Linked DNA regions of Mus musculus. The protein of the gene in region 1 interacts with the protein of each later gene in a biochemical or structural test. Links are inferred from orthologs where the notes say so. Each region holds a gene or a part of one and is shown on either strand. Other genes may lie near its edges. The genes, in order: Stk26 and Cab39.

The links.
Region 2: the proteins of Stk26 (region 1) and Cab39 are reported together in a solved structure, tested with the Homo sapiens proteins (2 studies listed by IntAct, with this or other methods). The link is inferred for Mus musculus from reciprocal best matches to the Homo sapiens genes STK26 and CAB39.

Annotation. Positions count from the first base shown.
Region 1 is NC_000086.7:50,889,871-50,893,370, forward strand, and holds the end of Stk26 (serine/threonine-protein kinase 26), read left to right. Parts: coding exon 1-99; intron 100-1,429; coding exon 1,430-1,454; 3' UTR 1,455-3,228; downstream 3,229-3,500. UniProt on the Homo sapiens protein: Serine/threonine-protein kinase that acts as a mediator of cell growth. Modulates apoptosis. In association with STK24 negatively regulates Golgi reorientation in polarized cell migration upon RHO activation.
Region 2 is NC_000067.6:85,789,530-85,796,420, forward strand, and holds the start of Cab39 (calcium-binding protein 39), read left to right. Parts: upstream 1-3,911; 5' UTR 3,912-4,292; intron 4,293-4,359; exon of another isoform or gene 4,360-5,445; intron 5,446-5,827; exon of another isoform or gene 5,828-5,944; intron 5,945-6,891. UniProt on the Homo sapiens protein: Component of a complex that binds and activates STK11/LKB1. In the complex, required to stabilize the interaction between CAB39/MO25 (CAB39/MO25alpha or CAB39L/MO25beta) and STK11/LKB1.

The DNA.
Region 1 (3,500 bases):
GGCAATTGAAGAACTTGAGAAAAGTATTGCTGTGGCTGAAACCGCCTGTCCTGGCATCACAGATAAGATGGTGAAGAAACTAATCGAAAAATTTCAAAAGTAAGTTTGAAGTGTCATTTTCGGTTGGCATTTTAGATGGTAGTTTCTGATGTAATAAAGTTACTTCGATGCAGCTGTTTCCTACATTTTCCCTGCAAAATCACATTCGGATAGTTGTATGTTTGAAAACAGATTTGTTTCTTGCCAAATTTAAACGTCTTCTTTGACAGAGAGAGAAAGACAGGGCTGGGGGTGCAGGAGAGAAAGAAACGTGGGGAGTTATCTCTCACATGGGCCTGGGAAGGAAAGACGTCAACATTGGGATTGTTCCTCTATTTCTCTCCCCCTTATTTTTTGAGGCAGGGCCTCTCATTGAACCTGCAGCCTGCCCTGTTTAGTGATTGCCCAGAAAGAATATTCTTCTCTGCCCTCCAGTGCTGAAGTTCTATGGGCTCAGTTCCACCTGACCCGAACATGGATGCTAGAGATTTGAATTCAGGCTCTTGTGCTTGTACTTCAAGGACTTTCCCCACTGAGCCACGCCCCCCCAACCCAACTTTAGCTTTTGGAATGACTATATTTAGATATGGGAAGGTAGTTTTCTACTGAACCAAACAGCCCAGGTTTTGCCCTGTCTTTCCCTGTTAGGATGAAATGAGAGAAAATGTCACTGAGTATGTTCTTATTTGGGCACATGAACCATTACCCTCATTTTCACTCTTGACAGTACTCTTAGCCTTTGCAGAAAGACCACTATTCTCATCATTGCCATAGCAAAATTTCTCCATTTGAACCCTTCTGAAATGCTGGTTAAAAGATTTAGGGAAAACAGTTGAGACAAGAATAGAGCCATTTGATTGCATTTAGTTTCTGTCTTGTCTTCTATTACTTTGATTTGGCTCACAAAGTTCTTACATTTGATTTGAAATTTCTTTTCTTAAACAACACTTCCGTATGTATGCATTCATACTCATTAGCTTAAGCGAGTTCTAACATGGTTGTACAGCATTTAACTTTAAACCCATTGTATCCCCTCTTGTCCCATCTTTTGATTTCCTTAGCCAGCTAAGCTCACGGTGAAAATAAATACGTGACCTATAAAATCCCTCTTAATTATCTTTGCATCCAGTAAAGCCTACTCAGGACTCTGGTGCTAAACCATGCTTAAAATCCTCCAGTTCTCTTCTTATTTGCAAACAAAGCCAAGTTGTAAGTTGTGAAATCAGACACAAAGGAATTTTTAACCGTTCTTTTACATTGTTTAACACATCCATCTATGTAAGATTTAATGGAAATAATGTGGCTTCTTCATACATTGTACAGTTCATGAGTAAGAAATATAGATGACTTTTATAATTATACATTGAATTATATTGTCTTAATTTTGTAGGTGTTCTGCGGATGAATCCCCTTAAGAAATCTGTTGTCATTACTTTTGGCTTCTGTTTCATGTGGACCAGGAGAAACCCACCAAAGCTATGTCAACCTTATAAATGCTTAACTCATGAGCTCCATGTGCCTTTTGGATCTTTGCCACATTGAAGATTTAGAGGAAGCTATTAAACTATTTTGTGATGGTGATTATCATTTTGTATTTTAAAGAGATTATTTTGTAAGGAATAATTTTAATACTATAGTTTTGCCGGTATTGTAGTAAATGCTGAGATACAGGTTTTTTGTTTTTTGTTTTTTAATTTTAGGTACCATTATTTCTTATGTTCATGGAATGAATACTGTTTGGTTTGGAATCTTTAGTTAACTGTATACTCATAAACATACAGGTCTTTCAAAGTCATCCTAACTATTAAATGTTTGTAAATCATCAAGCTTCAAAAAGCATTCTTTTTCCCCCACACAAGTATATTCTAAAAATGACTATTTGTAATGAGGTGGAAGTAAGTAATACCTTCTTAAAACAAGTGTTTTTAAGAAGCTCTTGAAAAAAAAGAAAACCACCTAGACCTAGAAAGTATTGACTTTCCTAGCAAGTTGTTCTGAATTCAGGCAGCCCCATGTCTAGCACCTTGGAGAACCTTGTGTTTGAAGCACTTCCATGCAACATGTAACAGCAGAAGTACCTCTTGGTGTATTTATCTTCTCTTTCAGATGGAAGAAGCAATTAACCCTTATTTAACATTTAAAGTAATCTCATTTAGCCGAGAATGGTGGAGTTGGTCTGGCTTCAGTCTTTAAATCTTCAGCTCAAATCACATATTACATGCTTGGATTTAGAAAACTTTTAACAACCTTTTTGTCTTGTGATTAAATACCTGATCAATAGGTATGAGCGTAACTTTAAACCAGCATTTATTTTGTCGTGGCAATGCATTTTTGTAGAAACTATTTATACATTTTTGTTTATAATTATCCACTCATAAGTATAGTGTGTTCAATTCTGAAGGGGTATTTAAATGAACATTGTCCAACTCATAGGAAGATACCATAGAGCAGGATCATTTCTTGTCATATAAAAGTAAGATAGACTGTGCAGTTAATTTTCAGTTCTATTTATGGTACTGTTAAGTGAGTTATAGCCTTTTTTAGCCATATATATATATATATATATATATATACTATGTTTGCCTAAGTGCTAAACTAGGTCTAATGTAGAATTGTTGGTACTGATTAATTTTGACAGTTATGATTTTAATGTTTGCATCTTCACATTTGAGCTTAGCACGAAACATTTTAAAATATCTGTGTAACTGCCAAATGTGAAAAGGAAAGACATTGTACAAGTAGCCAATGCAGTTTTTAATTGAAATGTCAATTACATCCCTTCTTTTAAAAAAGAAATACAAACATTTGAAAGGCAGAACATTGTATGCCAAGAAAATTCTTTTCATTGGTGCCTATCCTGTACCTGTTGCTTTGAGTTGACTGTACCTTGAATTGATGACTTGGTTAGATTTTTAGTTTTTTTGTCCATGCTGTAAATGACACTCAATCGCAGTTTGTTCTCCATAGTGCTCTAAAAATAATTGTGTGACTTGAATAATGGGTGACATTCATATTTTTGTGAAAGTAAAAACAAGTTCATAAATTGATTATGGAAAACTGTACCACACGCCTGCATCCCAAATACAGCTGGTATTGCTTACTCATTATAGCGTTAGTTCTGTAGACCTGTTTCTATGTGAAGCATATGTCACTGTTTGGGGGATTTTAAAAATAAATATTTAAATTTTATGATCCTCGATGTTTGTTTTCTTGAGGGTGGGTCTGATATGTTATTCTAATTAATTTATAATAGTTCTTTTTTATTATTGGAACATAACCAAGGCTTCCATTGAAACTAAAAGTTACTAAGAATTGACTGTATTTATATAGCTGAAGATATATATCCTGATTTCTTCCTCCTACCATAAAACTCTTAATAGTACTTTTAAAAGTGTCTTCAGATGGCTAATTTAACGATCCCCTTAATTACTATTTTAATAAAAGATCATATACAGATTTAA
Region 2 (6,891 bases), on another chromosome or scaffold:
GCCTGCCCCTGCTTCCCAAGTGCTGGGATTAAAGGCGCGAGCGCCACCACCCCCTGGCTACTGCTTCTTCACTCCCTATGTTCTCCAGGAAGCTGTTGCAGTTCCCAGCAGGTTCTCCTCAGGCCTCCTGCCTCTTACCCTTCTTTAGATTGCTGATTAGTCTTGCTTTCCTGGATTTCCTCCCGGCTTCTGATTGCTCCCAGATAATGCCCATCTAAGTAAATAGCTCTACCATCCAAACAGTTTCCCAGATCAAAGCCAGTTCTCTTCCCGGAGTCTTCCTTCTCTCTTATCTCCATTACATAGTTCCCTCTACAAATATCAATCAGATTCACGTTGACTCTGGAGGAGGTGCACTGTGGCCGACCCTAGCTCAGACCCTATTACCTCTTGCCTGACTTGAGAGTAGCCTCTTGCTGGTCTCACTGTCTGTATCCTGGCCCTCCTGTGGTTCCATGTATGTCTGATTAGAGAGGTGTTCTGCATTCCGAAGTACACATCTGAATGCGGTGTTGGACGACAGCTCTGTGGCACGGTGCTTGTCCAGCAGGGACAATGCTTTGGGTTTGGATTTCACCCTGAGCTCTGCACTGGGGGTGAGGGTGGGGGTGGAGTGACAAACAACAAAAACCAAACACTTGTGCACGCAGCATTCAATGACAAAGTTTCAATGTGTACCTACCCACCCTCCCAGAGCATCCATGCTGAAGTCCAGGCTCCTTAGCACTGGAGGACATAGGTTTTCAATGATTACAGCTTTGCTTATCTTTCCAATTTTATCTATTCCCTTCCTCCCTACCCCCAAGTCGCTTCACATACAGAAGTCCTTGCACATAGGCCGGTCCTCTAACTCACCATGCTTTTTGTGCTTCTTTCATGTTTCTCCTTAAACATGAACCCCATTATTCAACGTCCTAGGTCTCTTACAGGCTTCCTGCCTCCCTCTCCTGTAATTGCCCATTCGTGCCTGTGTCTTTCCTGGACGCTGAGGGGAGCTACCTATCAGCCAGTGCTTCGCTGCCATAATTCGAGGTCCTAGTTTACTCTCAAGAAGCACCTGCCAAATAAACAAATTTCTAATGAGATTTGGAGCAGGTTTGGTGAGTCTGAGGGTGTGGACTGGTGGGTGGATGGGAAGGGAGGCAAACAGGAGTGCTGGAGAGTTCAAACTTCAAGAGCAGAGCCATGGTGGAAACTGCAGTGTCCAGGGTGGGGCTAGCCTAGTGGCTGCTGACGTACAGTGGATGTGAAGGTCATTGGGATAGCACAGTAAAGGGACCGTATCCAATAGGGTGAGCTGCAATGATACAGCCAGGTGAATGAAGGCACTGGGTGGGGTGGGAGGGAAGCCATGAGTCAGGCTCCAAAGTCCTTTCCTAGAGGGTCTAATTAAGGGAGGGAAGTGCCTCCATCCGGTGGCCCAGCATCAGCAAGGAAGAGGAAGAGACGGCATGATGGGAGATTTACACAGGACCAGCACAGGCTCTAGGGAGACAATAACAGCAACAGCCCAGGCAAGCACAGAACCCAGTGTTCTGTGGCCACCACACAGGAAAACAAAGGCCCCCTGAGAATGTTTCAAAATGAAGATGCAGAACTTTCCAGAAAGTGGCATGGCCCGAGAAATAGTTTAGTAGAAACAGCTTTCCAGAGCCCTCCCGTCCCCAATAGAAGAATATGGAAAATAGCCCGATTCTGTAAGAGGCCATCAAAAGCTGTCTGGCATCTTCTCTCTGTAACTGTGGGTAGAAGGTAGGTGCAGCCTTTGGCCCTTTGCAAGGGAAATTTCACCAGTCTGGCTAGTTTCCCTAGAAGTGTTCAACATGTCCAAGATGAACTATGCTTGGTTGAATGGATTTTAAGTGTTAATATGCTAATGGTTTTGTTTGCTTGTTTCTTGACACCACATATCTGTCTGGTCACTGCATATCACCGAGAATGACCTTGAATTCTTCATTTTCCCCCCACCACTCCCAAGGGCTAGGGTTATAGGTGTGCACTACTACTATACCTGACTGACACATGCTTGAGCACACAGACACATACATATACGAACAAGATCACACAAATTAAAGGGGGTGGTGTGTTGAGACAAGATCTTGCCATGTGGCGCTAGAAACCTGGAACTCACTACTTAGATCAGGTTGGCTTCAAATTTACAGTCTTTGCTTTGCTAGAACTAGGATTATAGTGTAACAGGTTTCCAGACCTTAGCACAACAGATGCCATGATGAAAGTACCATTCAGGTCCTGAGACCCAGGATAGAGGCAGCAATACCTGCCAAAAACAAGAGAGAACAAAGACCTAATCCATCAAAGTCCATAGTTCCGGGAAAGTCCATAAAGGAACTAATCTTGCTTTTTGGCTTTTGTAGTTCTGCAACTAGACTGGATGACTGTTCTTGCTAACCGAGGTGTGACAAGCCAGGATATGGTTTTGTGTGTGTGTGTGTACTTAAAAAGGGGGGCGGGGAGAGCCATTGAGTTGTAAAATAAATAAATAAATAAACAAACAAACTCACCTGAGAAAGGCTCAGGACTATACTTGAACCCCAAACACCCAGAGTAGTCACTGGCTGGTAATAGAGACTTTCTATCGGCTTGAGCCCATGTCTGAGTGATCTTCTCTATTGTTATGGATACTTCATACGTGTTATCTTCTCTATCTCCCTCATCTTTGTCTCAGCTTTCTTTGTGTGCATACAAACTACCCACGACTGAATCCAGAATCTACCATAATTATAGTATAGCCTGAGCTATACCCCCGAGCCCTACTATAGGGTGTCAGCAACCCCCGTCTACTGTATTTGTGGAATTCCTCCGGCCCTTCACTCTGATCTTCATATCGCAGTAACAGTGATTACGACTTTTTTTTTTTGAGACAGGGTTTCTCTGTGTAGCCTTGGCTGTCCTGGAACTCACTGTGTAGACCAGGCTGGCCTCAAACTCAGAAATTCGCCTGCCTCTGATCACGACCTTTTTAAAACGCCAAAGCCTGGCCCTTTCCTGCTCCAAATCCTATGGATAGCTTGCTTCTCTCAAGTATTGAAGTTCTCACAGGAGGCTCACATCGCCTTGCTTCCTTCAGGAAACCACTTCCTTAGCACACTGTAGCTGTCCAAAATCCTGTCCCATTGTTAAGCATATAGCAAAGGAGCACACATGTAGCATTTTTGAGTTCCAGACTCTGTCATTAGATCTCTGTAATGCATTATTTTATTCCTCTGGGTGTGTGTTCATGGCACTTGTTTCTCTCTCTCTCTCTCTCTCTCTCTCTCTCTCTCTCTCTCTCTCTCTCTCTCTCTCTCTCTCTCTCTCTCTCTCTCTCTCTCTCTCTCTCTCTCTCTCTTTCTTTCTTTCTTTCTTCATGGAACTTGCTTCCCTATCTATCTATAGGCAGAGTTTTTCACACAGCCCGGGCTGACCTAAACCTGTGAAGTCTAGGATGACCTTGAACTCCTAATTCTCTTGAGTTCACCTCCCAGTGTTGGGATTACAGGCATGCACCACTAAAATCCACTTTGGAAAAAGTAGGATATGTACCCTTGTTGGATCTTGTTTCTTTGGAATATTTCATCACTTTTTTTCCCCTGTCAGGAGATGCCAAAGTGAAGTTACAGGTTCTGCCCAAGCATGAAAGAACCCATTTGAACAGTTTTGAGCCCTCCGCAGATGTAAAGTTTTAAGACTTGAGGAAGTGGACTGTGTTCCTCCAGGAACTAGCAAGTAAGGGGCGCATAGACGACGACTCCAGCTCCCCTTCTGCTTTTTCTCAGTGCCCCCAGCTCTTCAACTTGCCGGCGACTCAGGCGTCCCGAGTCCGCCCGGCCGTCCGGGGGCGCCCGAGTACGCAGAGGGCGTTGCGGCGCCGCCCGACGTCCCGCCTTCGGCGGCTGCGCAGTGCGCACGTCAAAGCCGGGCTCAGGCCGGAGCTGGGCGCGGGGCGCCAGGAGCCGCGCGGCCTGAGAGAGTCTGGGGCTTCAGTAGCCGCGCGAAGGCTGAGACAACCTCAGAGGCGAAGGCAGTGCGGGACCTCACGGCCACAGCCGCAGCCCTACCGAGCGCAGCACCGCGGCGGCCACAGCAGGAACCCCTGGGCCACCGTCCGCCCGCGCAGCCGCCGCCGCCGCCGCGGGAGCCCGTCGCCCGGAGCAGCTGCGGGCGGAGGACAACGGAGGGCCGGAGCGTCCGAGCCGCGCCGCGGGGACCGAGCGAGCAGCCCGAGGCGGCGGCGGCCGAGGACGGGGACGGAGACGAAGCAGAGAGGGAGCTCCCTGGCCCGGCCCAGCCCGGTGAGTGATCCCCCGGCCCGGCCCTGCTCGCGACGCGGACGCCCGCCGGCTTCCGCCCGACCCGCCTCCATTTTCCCGGGTGGCGGCGGCGGGAGCGGCCCGGAGCAGCCGGAGCTCCGGGCGCCGCCCTTGTCCTCGCCCGTACTAGGCTCCGGGGGCCTGCCGGCCGGGGCTACAACTAACCGGGGTAGAGCTGGCCCGGCCAGCTGTCACTCCCGCCGCTCCGGGGACTCCGAGCACCTAGCCCTGGGCTCCGCGTAGCCTCACTGTTAGCGGGACGCTGACACTATCTTTGTAGGGGACCTTTCAGGAAAATGCCTAACTGATTTCTGGCTAGGAATTGTGCGTTCGGCGCGTTCCCGGGTTCGGTTGGAGCAATCCAAAACGCCGACTGCGTGCCGGTGCCGGAGCGACTCCGAGGTGAACCCGGCCGGGAGGTGCCCTCCCCTGGGGAGCTTTAACGCGGTGATGTGAGAGATAAGACGAGTACACAAATAGCTAAGATACCAGGCAGGAGGGGGATAGATAAGTTCCGTTTAGGAACTACCAATTGCTAGAAAGGTGCTCCGGGGTGACTGGACCTGTCGATCGTTTCCGCCTTCCCACGAACCTGGGAGGCTTCCTGGGCGAGGCGGTGCTAAACCGGGTCTAGAAGACTCGATTGGATTCGGGAGAAGGGGGTTGCAGTGGAGAAGGGCGTGGAGGGGCAACAAAGCTGGAGGACAAAGGTACAAAGAGCATGCGAATGTTGCCAATTCCATCACCGGGTGCCGTGATAGGTGGGGTAGACTAAAGAGGCATTTGGAGTCAGATCTTTGAATGCTGTAGAGGAGCTGTTTGAACGACCTTCCACGGAAAACTTAGAACTCATTTTTCAGTGACTCATGAGGCCGGAAATGTATGCTAGGGCATATTAAAGGCGCTCTTGAGAAAGACAGGCGAGCAGAGAAGGCCACAGTCAGGACTTAGCATTGTTTCCTAAATATAATGCAGTTTGAGGTCGATTTTGACAGCTTCCGGGATATTTAAGTAAATCTATGTCCAAGCCAAGGAAAATACCTTTTGTAGAAAGTGTCACTAGATGCGTGCTTATCTGAAGTAATTAAAAGAGGTGCCTAAATTAACCTTCTCTACACACAAGGCATTTGCGTTGGTGAGTTCTCTAAAATTGCATCAGAACTTCTGGATCCCTGTGTTGGAATTGAACATTAAACTGTAGATTTATAAAAAAAAAAATAGTAATAAGAACTGAACTGTTAACAGTCTAGACAGACAGTTGGACACACACCATTTTTCTGGAAAAGTAAAAAATTTCTTGTTAATTTTTAGTTATGAAAATATTGGAGAGCCAGAAGTGAAAGTTTTTAAGCTCTATTTTACAGGTTTAAAAAAATTAGCAAGTAATTAGTAACTACTAAATGCTTACAATATATGATTTGTAAGAATTGCCTTAGAACTTACTATTGGTTTTGTAAGTGCTTATATGTACAAGGAAATCATACTTTTTTTCAGTCTTACATTTTTCTTTATCAAAGTAAGATCTAGCTGCTGCTGCTGCTGCTGCTGGTGGTGGTGGTGGTGAACGCTTTTAGCCTCTGCACTTTGGAGACGGAGGAGGGCCAGGCCAGGCCAGGCCAGCCGGCTAGATCACAGTAAGAGACTTTGTCTTTTTATTCTAATTTTTGTTTCTTAAAGTAAGACATACTCTTTGAAACATGGAAGCAGTAGTCCATCTCTCCTTTCTCCCCCACCCCATCCCCATCTTTTGAAACAGTGTAGCTCAGGTCTTCCAACCTGTCATCCTCCTGCATTGGGTTTCTAAGTGCTAGAATTACAAAATAGACTGGGAATTTTTTTTCTTTAAGTTTTCTTAATCTTATCACTTAGATTTTGTTTCTGTAAACATTTTTGCATATTTCCTTTCTGATCTTTTTCTGTGTATATTTTCCTAAAAATATATTAAGTACATTTATTTATATATTTGTTTATTTATTGGCATTTTGAAACAACCTCTTACTCTGGCCCAAGTTGTCCTGGAATTTGCTGTGGAGGCCAAGCTAGCTTTAAAATTCCAGATAGTTCTCCCGACTCAGCCTCCTAAGGGCTGGGCATGAACCAATAGAACCAGTCTGAAAGTTTTCTTAAATGTTTTATTAGGCTTTTACCTGTCAAGGTTGCATTGTTCCCTTAAGGCTTCTTGTTAGAAGTCTGTTTATTAGCTTCTCATCAAGGTTTGGTCCTGACTGCTGCTTATTGAATGTATTTTGGTTGGTAGAATACATTTATGTGATCGCCAGGAGTGGAGACGGGCACACAGACCTCTGCTATGTGAGCAGGAGTACTTTTAGTAGGCCACTGAGGGGCTGGAGAGGTTAAGAGTGTGACCTGCTCTTGCAGAGGACCTGAGTTCTGCTGTTGTTGGGTTCCCAGCATCCAGTTTGGTTCACAACTTCCTGTACAGCCCCGGCTCTATACACTCCTGTCCTCCACTGACACCTGAACTCATGTTCCCATACCCACATGTGTACACAATTTAAAAAGAAAATTAAAGAAGGACATGATAAAAAGAATATATTCATGGCCAATATAATCTGTTGTG